Rattus norvegicus: one gene and its partner. The protein of the gene in region 1 interacts with the protein of each later gene in a pairwise test. Links are inferred from orthologs where the notes say so. Each region holds a gene or a part of one and is shown in the gene's direction. Other genes may lie near its edges.

Region 1 (4,296 bases):
TGGAATTTCTTCTGCTTTCCACCTTGTCCAGATCCTGGCCTTCCTTTAAGACGCTTATCTGCTTCCAATCTTTGTCATGGATTCCTCCTTAATCATTTTAAGCAAATAGAATTCTTTGCCTTTCCTGAGTCCTAAGTGTTCATTTGCACCTTTTCAGCATTTTTTGCATTGTCTATTTTGATTTTTTTTCCTTTTTTTTTTTTTTGTGAGAAATCTTAAATTGTTCACTTGTTGTCAATTTGCCTTATATAATTTTATTTTGTCTTCCATAGGACCTGTGTGGAAATAAAAAAAGCCAATTCACTTAACAGTTTTACTGGGCATTTAGTGGATATTTTTTAAAAAATTAAATCTGTTGATTCTGTCTACCATGTCCACAGCTTGTATAATTCTATAGTCTTTAATCTCTAAACTTTGGTCTTTGGTTGTCATAAATTGGAAAGGTCCTTCTCATGCTAGCTCTGCTCCTGATAGTATCACCGCCCCATTTTTTTTATTGTTGGTAGATTGTTTTGGATTGTCAGCAGGGCCAGTTTCATGTGTATTCCCATTAAGATTATTATTAGTCTAGTTTTTTTTAATGATAGACTTTGGATCTGGTGGGTGTGTGATACTTTGTAAAATTAAATAGGATGCCTGTAGAAGTGTGGCTAGCTTCTTGTTTTTCATCTAGATCTCTGCTTCAGACCAACTGTCTCAGGCCCAGAGTTTAATCCTAATAGCCTGACTTGTTTCTCCAAAAATTAAGGAGAACTTGAGAATGACACTAGGCAATAAGAAGGCCCAGCCTGAATTAGATGCCAGTCTTGTTGAGTAGTAGTCCTGGGGATATTTCTATTCCTGCTTAAACCAGCACCCAGGAAAGAAAATAACACCATATTCTGGGGAGTGTAAAGGGGTTGGCGGGGCAGTGCAGCAACATCTGTCACTCCATTGCTTGTCAGGATTATTTAGCTGATTTGTCTGACTGGGCAGGTGTCCCCTCTCTCCCCCAGTGCTCCATGTGCATCCCTCTTGAAGCTTCGCACTCTGTTGAAGAGGACACTCATCCCAGGTAGAGGGGGGATGGGAAACTGGGCCAATTGAATCTGTCCTTTTCTTACCATCAGATCAGGACACTCAGCTGGGATCCATTGACTTCCTGAGGTCCATGGCCTCCGTGAAGTTCTTGCCAAGTTTTGTTTATGCATTTGTACGTTTCTTGGGGAAAAGGGTCTGCACCTTTCTTCAGGTTCTTGGAGAATCTGTAGATGCACTGTGGCACTAGAAAATGCTGTTTGCTGTTTCTTGGGTATTTTTTAAGCAAGAGTCACAGGAAATTAGAGAGGCAAGTAGAGTGGGAGGATGACCACAGTCCTGAACTCTTTCTTGTACAGAAGGTCTGTTTAGATGTATTTGGTACACGAGGCAGGCCTCAGAAGTTCTGGTCTCTGTTTCTCAAACAGGAGTAATAGAAAGCTTAGACTTAGAAAAGAGAGGAGACAGATTAGATGACATAGGGCAGGAGTGGCAGTTTGAAAATACCTTGGTTTTGCCACTAGCAAGCTCTGCAACAGTGCTATATCATTTAGGGATCTTAATCCAGTTAGTAAATGAAAAGGGCTGAAAGACATTTAAAGCTCCTCATGTCTGTGACACACATTCTGGAAGAACTCTTGGTCAGGGATATTGAAACTGCTCTTAGTTTAAGGGAAAGGAATCCTCTTTTGCCTTTCTCTAAATGCATGGCTCTGAGAGAGGAAAAGGAAGCCAGTTTCAGATGCTGCCTATGTTGTACCATCAGTGTATTTCAGAACAGGTTCGAAAGTTTGGTCTTGACTTTTTAGATGGTAAAGGAACATTTAATCTTCAGCATATTGTAATTGAAGCTTTGTTCCTTGGTATGAAATGGTTGACAGCAATTTCTAATGTATGGGATTTTTTTTGAGATGGTTTCTTGTGGCCCAGGCTGGCTCCAAACTTGTAGTGTACCTCAGGATGGCCTTGAATTCTTGATCCTCCTGCCCTCATCTTCCAAGTGCTAGGATTAAAGCATGCCTGGCTGTAGCAGTTTTATATGGAAAAAATATGGACCTATTTGGTTAAAAATTATTTCTTAAGCATTCTTAGATACATATAAATTTCATCTCATTGATTTGAATTTTCCCTTTTATTGAGTTAGCTGTGTAAACCAAGAATTCTTGAAAGTTTTGTTTGAACCACATTATTCCAGAATGAAGAGAATAATTTGAAATCCTTTAATGTGTTTGCAGTCACTATTTAGAAGCAAGATGCTTGAATGAGAGAGATTATCGGGATCGGAGATACATTGATGAATACAGAAATGACTACTGTGAAGGATATGTTCCAAGACATTACCATAGAGACATTGAAAGCACTTACCGGATCCATTGCAGTAAATCCTCAGTCAGAAGCAGGAGAAGCAGCCCTAAAAGAAAACGTAACAGACACTGTGCGAGTCATCAGTCACATTCGGTATGAGTGATTTGTTTTTATTTGAATGGATTGATCGTAAAGCTCTAAAAGAGTGATAAGTTTCTAAAAGTTGCTTAATGCAATTTGGATATGCTGTAATTATATTCATGTTACTTGAATCCTTAAAGGAAATGTACACGTTCTCATAATTGACCACCTGTGTATTATTTAGTCTTCATTTTGCCCACACACTCATTCTGCAAAACAGATCATGAGTTTGTTGGTTTTAATAGTAAGAACATCTTATTTTGTGGTTGTATAGTGTATTAAAAAATGAGGCACCCATTTTTTCTTCTATGAACGTAAAGTTTTTTTTTATTTTGAAAGAAACTGCTTTACTGGTAGTTGGAAACAACTCAGGCAAGTCACGCTGCTGGGGTGTTTAGCTGTTGCTGACTCCTGTGTAGTCTAGCTCCTAGCACAGTAAATCATTGTCTGCATTAATTTGCTGAAGCTGTGAGCCTGGGTGCTGAGCGGAAAATGTACTGAGAAAGTCTTTCATTTGTAAACTTTGAGATACCATTTCCCTCCCCCAAGTCTTCTCAATAGACCTAGCAGTTAGTAGATGGAAGATTGAAATTGGTCTTTACTTCCCCCTCTTACTATGATGTCCACTTTTAAATGTTGCTAAAAGAGAACAAATTCAGCTAATGTGGACATTTTCCTGACTGACTGAACAACTCAGCTCACAGCATATGGTTATAGCAGAATTAGTAACTCGTGACATTGCATTCTGTAGACTGCAGACTTCAATTAATCAGTATTTTAAAGAGACAATTGTGTTGTTTTTTTCTATTGCCACTTTAAGTATCTTATCTGAAAATCTGTTCCTTGCCATGTTTTTCTTCTGTAACATAAACTGTGCCCTGTGAATTTCTGGGGACTGAATTTGAAATTGCTCCTGCCAACTGTTCGTGGCCTGGTGCTTATCTGAATGCCTGAATATCTCCCCGCTGAATGAATTGCGTATTCTGCCCTGAATTCACTCTGATATATTGATTGGCTGGACGATCTTGGTGCTGCCCACTTGCCGTTCCAGAAGAGCCACCGAAGGAAAAGATCCAGGAGTATAGAGGATGATGAGGAGGGTCACCTGATCTGTCAAAGTGGAGACGTTCTAAGAGCAAGATGTATAGAATATTTTTCAACACTTTTTAAACTTTGCAGACAGAATAATCTTTTAAAGAATAGTTTGTCAGCGGGGGGCTAAAGACTCTTCATTGCTTTTTTGTTTTGTTTTTTGTGGGTTTGTTTGTTCTTTTGTATTTCTTCTTTTCTGTAGAATTTAAATATTTCTATTCTTAAAATTCCAAGATAATCAGTGGAGTTTGAGATTAGAGCAAGACAGATAGCTCTATCTAATTGCTTTGTAGCAACTGAAAATGCCATAACTTGAGCGATGAAACCTTAGTTATGCTTTGCTAAAGATCATTTGGAAATATGCCACACTTAAGCATTCATTGTATGAACAGCTGGGTACTTGTGCTAAAGTACTTAGATCTCTCTTTCTCTCCCTCACTTTAGATGAAATCGTGGACACTTTAGGTGAAGGGGCCTTTGGCAAAGTTGTAGAGTGCATTGATCATGGCATGTAAGTTTGCTTTTTCCTTTTTGAACATTCTGCTATATTTTACAATGTACTTAAAGTGGTTGCTACAAGTTTTCCTGAGAGAAATTCAACAGAATTTCTGAAATGCAATGTAATGTATGTGCCATGAGTATTAGTTTTATTGTGAATGGTGGCAGTTTTTCTCAGGTGGAAGTTACTCTGTAAAGGAATGCTCAAACAAGATATGTAGCATTCTGGTACTTTTGAATTGC
Region 2 (4,455 bases), on another chromosome or scaffold:
CCGGCTGAGGAAAGCTACACGCCTAGAAGGCGTGGCTCCGGCGGGCAGGGAGTGGTCCTGGGGCGTGGCCAGGGGAGCCAAGGGACCAGGGGACCAGGGGACCAGGGGGCCAGGAGGCCAGGGGGCCAGGCTGAGGAAAAGCAGCAAACTCCCAAAGTTGAACTCCGGGAGAGAGGTAAAGAGACAGAGACTAAGAGCAGCGGGTGTCGCAAGCGAGACCAAAGTACTAGCATTTGAAAAAGCGCCGCCGAGTGGAGGGGTGTGGCCAGGGGCAGAGGAGCAAATTGGAGGCTGTCAGTAACAATGGAAGGCGTGGCTTCAGTAGGAAGAGACCAAGGCGCGCGTCTTTGTGGGACTAGAGCCGAGAAGGCTTGGCTTGAGCTGGAAAAGGTTTAGGGTTGTTGCTAAGCAAACATCATCCAAGGACCAGACCGCATATCCAGAAGAGATGACTTGAGCAGTGAAAAGCTAACAGAGCAGCAAACCCAGAAACCATGACTTGTGTGGGAAGGGGCTCAAGAACCAGGAGTCCTAGCTGGGCCTTAAGACCAAGTTTGTAAAAACCTAGCTTAGGCGTAACAGGGTCCGACATAGGGGATGGGTGGGCGGCAAAGGGAGAAGCTGGGGGACTTAGGACTGGAGTAATGATTAAGAGCAGGAACGAGGTCTAAAAAGCATCGCTGGAGACAGAAACAAGAGCTGAACCAGGAGCTACGTGTGCAGCTCAGTGAGAGAGCCCTTGGCTGCTAACATGCTAGAAGGTCCTAGGTTTGACCTCCGACACTAAAACAAATACCAAAACAAAACAAGAAAAACAAAGCTCACTCTCCAATATGGGAGTCGGGTAGAGCCTGGGAAGTCTTTTCGGAACGGAAACGAGGCATTGGAGAAGAGATATTGGAACAGGACTTCATTCGAAACTGAAAAGTGTGACTGGGATGGGGATGAGGAGCCAGCAGGACAGCCAAGCCAGGGAGGCGTGGCCACAAGCCGCAATAGAAAGCAAAAGTAATGCTTTTTGCTGCCTACGCATAAGGATAAGATTTTGTATAAGTCGTATTAGGTAAGCACAAGGCCCTGGGTAGACTCTTTCTTGAGTCAATATAAGCTTACCTTGCTAAAAGTCCTGTCTGCTCAATAGAGGCGAAACTGGTCAAATTTAAGGGATTCCTCTCCCTTCAGCTCTTGCGAGTCTGTAATCTGGAACAAAGTGTTCCTTGAAGATTAAAAACAAATGCAAAAGATCTTTCCCCGTATGCTGTTTCCAACATTTTCGCAGGCAGGACACGGATACGCGGAGTGGAACGCATCATGGCTTCCTGTCCAGAATACGACTTAGTTTTCATCATGCAGTCTGCACTCCTGAAGTCTCTGAAACGGTCACTACGGTCAGAGGGGAAAGACAAGCACGGGGTTTGAGGCTGAGCTTTGAATGAAAGCAGAAAGCCACAGGCCCTGCATGACTCCATTTCCGCACATCTGCAGCCGGGATTCTGCGGTAGGAGACTTGTCTAGCTTGGAAATGGTCGATCACGCCGCCGCTGAGATCCTTTAGGTCTCTTCCACAATTAAGGAATACCAGTTCTAGCGTCGGCTTAAATCCACTCTTAGCCAGTCTCAGCTCCTCCAGACTGCGCAACAGAATCGCAAATCTTTGCTAGCCCGGAACCCGGAAGCACCTAAGGGCCGGTGTTTCCGTTATATCACTTCCGCTTCCTGTTTCCAGCCCTAAATCCGGTCAGGATTCAGCGTTCGAGCTACAAGTTGTGTCGTCGCTAGGTTCGAGGACATTGGAGGTGAGAAGGCTAAACGGAGAGGCCGGAGATCGCGGGAAGCTGCCAAGACTTGGGAGCCTAGGGGTTGCGGGAGGCAAAGCCGGGTGAGTCTGGGGCTGGGCCTGCCGCAGTTAAGGGGCGGAGTCGCGACTGTCTGTGGTCCCCGCAATTGAAACTGTAGACTGGGGCTGCAGAGGATTTGCGTCGGGTGTTCGGGGAAGTGTGACCAGAGAACTTAACCCAGGAAGGGGCTTTGGGAACCTGGGCGACCCTGGAAGTCCTGACTGCTGCTTTTCATCCCTTTCTCCACCTGGTGTAGCTCCAGCCACAATGATTGAGGTGGTTTGCAACGACCGTCTAGGAAAGAAAGTCCGCGTTAAGTGCAAGTATCCACCGAGGGGTGACTGGCAGGGTCTCTGGGGCAGATGGTGGTATTGGATGATTTCAGTTAAATGACGCTTATGGGGAGGCCTGAAGTCGTCTTCCTCGGTCTATCTTTTCCTTTCATTTACCTTAACTCCTTCGTGCCCAGCACCGATGACACCATCGGCGACCTGAAGAAACTGATAGCGGCTCAAACTGGCACCCGCTGGAATAAGATCGTTCTTAAAAAGTGGTAAGTACGCGCTGGTCAGTATCAGGCTAGAGGGCGTTCGTTGGAGCGAGCACCTCAAGACAATCCCGAAGAGCTTGTTTTCAGGACAAAAAACACCCCACCCCTTATCAGCTTCTCTCTGAAAGCTATCTATCCCGTAGGTACACGATTTTTAAAGACCACGTGTCTCTGGGAGACTGTATCCTTTCAAGAAAGAATTCACGTATTTATCTCAAGTTCTGGTTCTGTGCTGAAACCTGTACAGAAATTAAGCAAGAGGGATGCTTAACTTAGAATATGCCCCATTATGACTACTGAGAAAATGGAAACTGTGGAAATTATTTTGCTGGTGAGAAGGATCGTTGGCGAAATATACTTGGTTCAAAATACTTATTTACTGAATGCCAACTTGAGTGTTGGACAGGAGGAGTGTGACTGTAGTTGAGGAGATGGATGGATGGATGGATTGATGGTTGGGTTTTTTTTTTTTTAATTTGGGGAGGGGAGGTCTGGATCTTTTGTCTGCAATTATGTCTGTGCACCGCATGTATGCCTGCTGCTGGCAGAGACCAGAAGGAAGCTTCAGATTCCCTGGAGCCACCACGGGAGCTCTGGGACGTAAAGCCAGGTCTCTGGGAGAGCAGGCCTGAGAGCTCTTCAGCTGCTGAGCTGTCTCCAGCCTGAATAACCATTGACAATGTATTGTTCTGTGTGTATGATGGGGTGGGGGCACTTGAGGATTTGACTCTGTACACCAGGCTTCAGTGGCAAACAACTTTGCCTTCTCAGTGGTCTTAAGGACCACTGAATATTATTTATAGTTTGGAGTTCTTAGATCAAAGTGTCCATTCCTTAACCCAGGGCTGGGTGTTGAGCCACAGGACCCAGCTGTGAGTAGATGGAAGGTAGATCAGCTCCCAGTGAAAGTTCCTTAATGCTTGCCCTTCAGATGAGATCCACGACGGGATGAACCTGGAGCTTTATTACCAGTAGAGGGGACTCCTCCCTCCTCCCCTCGTCTCCCTGCTCTGCCCTGCCTTCCCCTCCCTCCCTCATTTGACACTGGTATAGATGGTCATTTTTAACAGTTCACATGAATAAAATTTTGCTGCTGCTTTGCTGCTGTCATGCTTGTGTGAGAGCTGTGTCCTGAGGGAGAGCTGGTGTCTGCTGTTAGGTACTGCTCCTGAGGGGAACTCAGGACTGACCGAAAGCTGGTCCTGGCGGTGCACACCTAGCATCTCAACAAGAAAATTTTGTCTTGGAAGTCTTGTATAGACCAGGTTACCCTTGAACTGGCTGTGTACCACCAATGATCTTGACTCCTGCCTCCACTTCGCAAGTGCTGAGACTGAAAAGGGCCTGTACCACCATGGTCTCATTTTTGCTCTTAAGGAATTGCCAGGAGCTATGGGTGCCCCATGCATTATTTTCATCCACCCACTACATCTTCCCATTTCAAAAGACTCAGATTTAGGGTAGTCTTCCCACCTTAAATGATTCAGTGGAGAAAAAAGTCCTTCACAGGTGTGCCCAGCCTGCTTGGCTTTTAGTTAATTCCAGATGTAGTCAACTTGACAACCAAGAGTAGCTATTACACCCACATATATAAATAAGTACATATTTACGTATATACTACTTGGATTTGAATTTTTGTTAAATTTTTACTTATATGCATGTGTGTATGGAGTGGGGCCAGTCATCCATGTACCACAGTGCACATGTGAAAGTTAAAGGACAATTTACAGGAATCAGTTCTCCCCTCCTACTGTGACAGTCTGAAGGTTGGAACTCGGGTCATCAGGCTTGGCAGTAATACTCTTCTTACCCAATGAACCTTTAAGTATATATTGGCACAGTACTCTTGTGACTTTTTCTTTTCAATGCTGAGCTCAAACCCAGAGCCTTGCACAGTCTAAGCTGGTTATGCTCCTGAGCTAGCTTAGATAGCTTATATCTTAGTGTGCACGTTTGAGCTTTATGTGTGCACTCTGCCATGGCCTGCTTATGGAGATCAGAGGTCTACCCTGGATGTCAGTTCTAGCCTTGTTTGAGACATGTCTTTGTTTTCTCTGCTTGTACTTG

What was found.
Region 2: the proteins of Clk4 (region 1) and Ubl5 interact in a two-hybrid assay, tested with the Homo sapiens proteins (2 studies listed by BioGRID and IntAct). The link is inferred for Rattus norvegicus from reciprocal best matches to the Homo sapiens genes CLK4 and UBL5.

Annotation. Positions count from the first base shown.
Region 1 is NC_086028.1:36,032,024-36,036,319, forward strand, and holds part of Clk4 (dual specificity protein kinase CLK4), read left to right. Parts: intron 1-995; exon of another isoform or gene 996-1,001; coding exon of another isoform or gene 1,002-1,054; intron 1,055-2,252; coding exon 2,253-2,475; intron 2,476-3,514; coding exon 3,515-3,605; intron 3,606-3,999; coding exon 4,000-4,066; intron 4,067-4,296. UniProt on the Homo sapiens protein: Dual specificity kinase acting on both serine/threonine and tyrosine-containing substrates.
Region 2 is NC_086026.1:27,457,960-27,462,414, forward strand, and holds Ubl5 (ubiquitin-like protein 5), read left to right. Parts: upstream 1-1,705; 5' UTR 1,706-1,879; intron 1,880-2,094; 5' UTR 2,095-2,105; coding exon 2,106-2,161; intron 2,162-2,307; coding exon 2,308-2,391; intron 2,392-2,531; coding exon 2,532-2,569; intron 2,570-3,319; coding exon 3,320-3,363; 3' UTR 3,364-3,499; downstream 3,500-4,455. UniProt on the Homo sapiens protein: Ubiquitin-like protein that plays a role in cell proliferation and sister chromatid cohesion by associating with spliceosomal proteins. Participates thereby in pre-mRNA splicing by maintaining spliceosome integrity.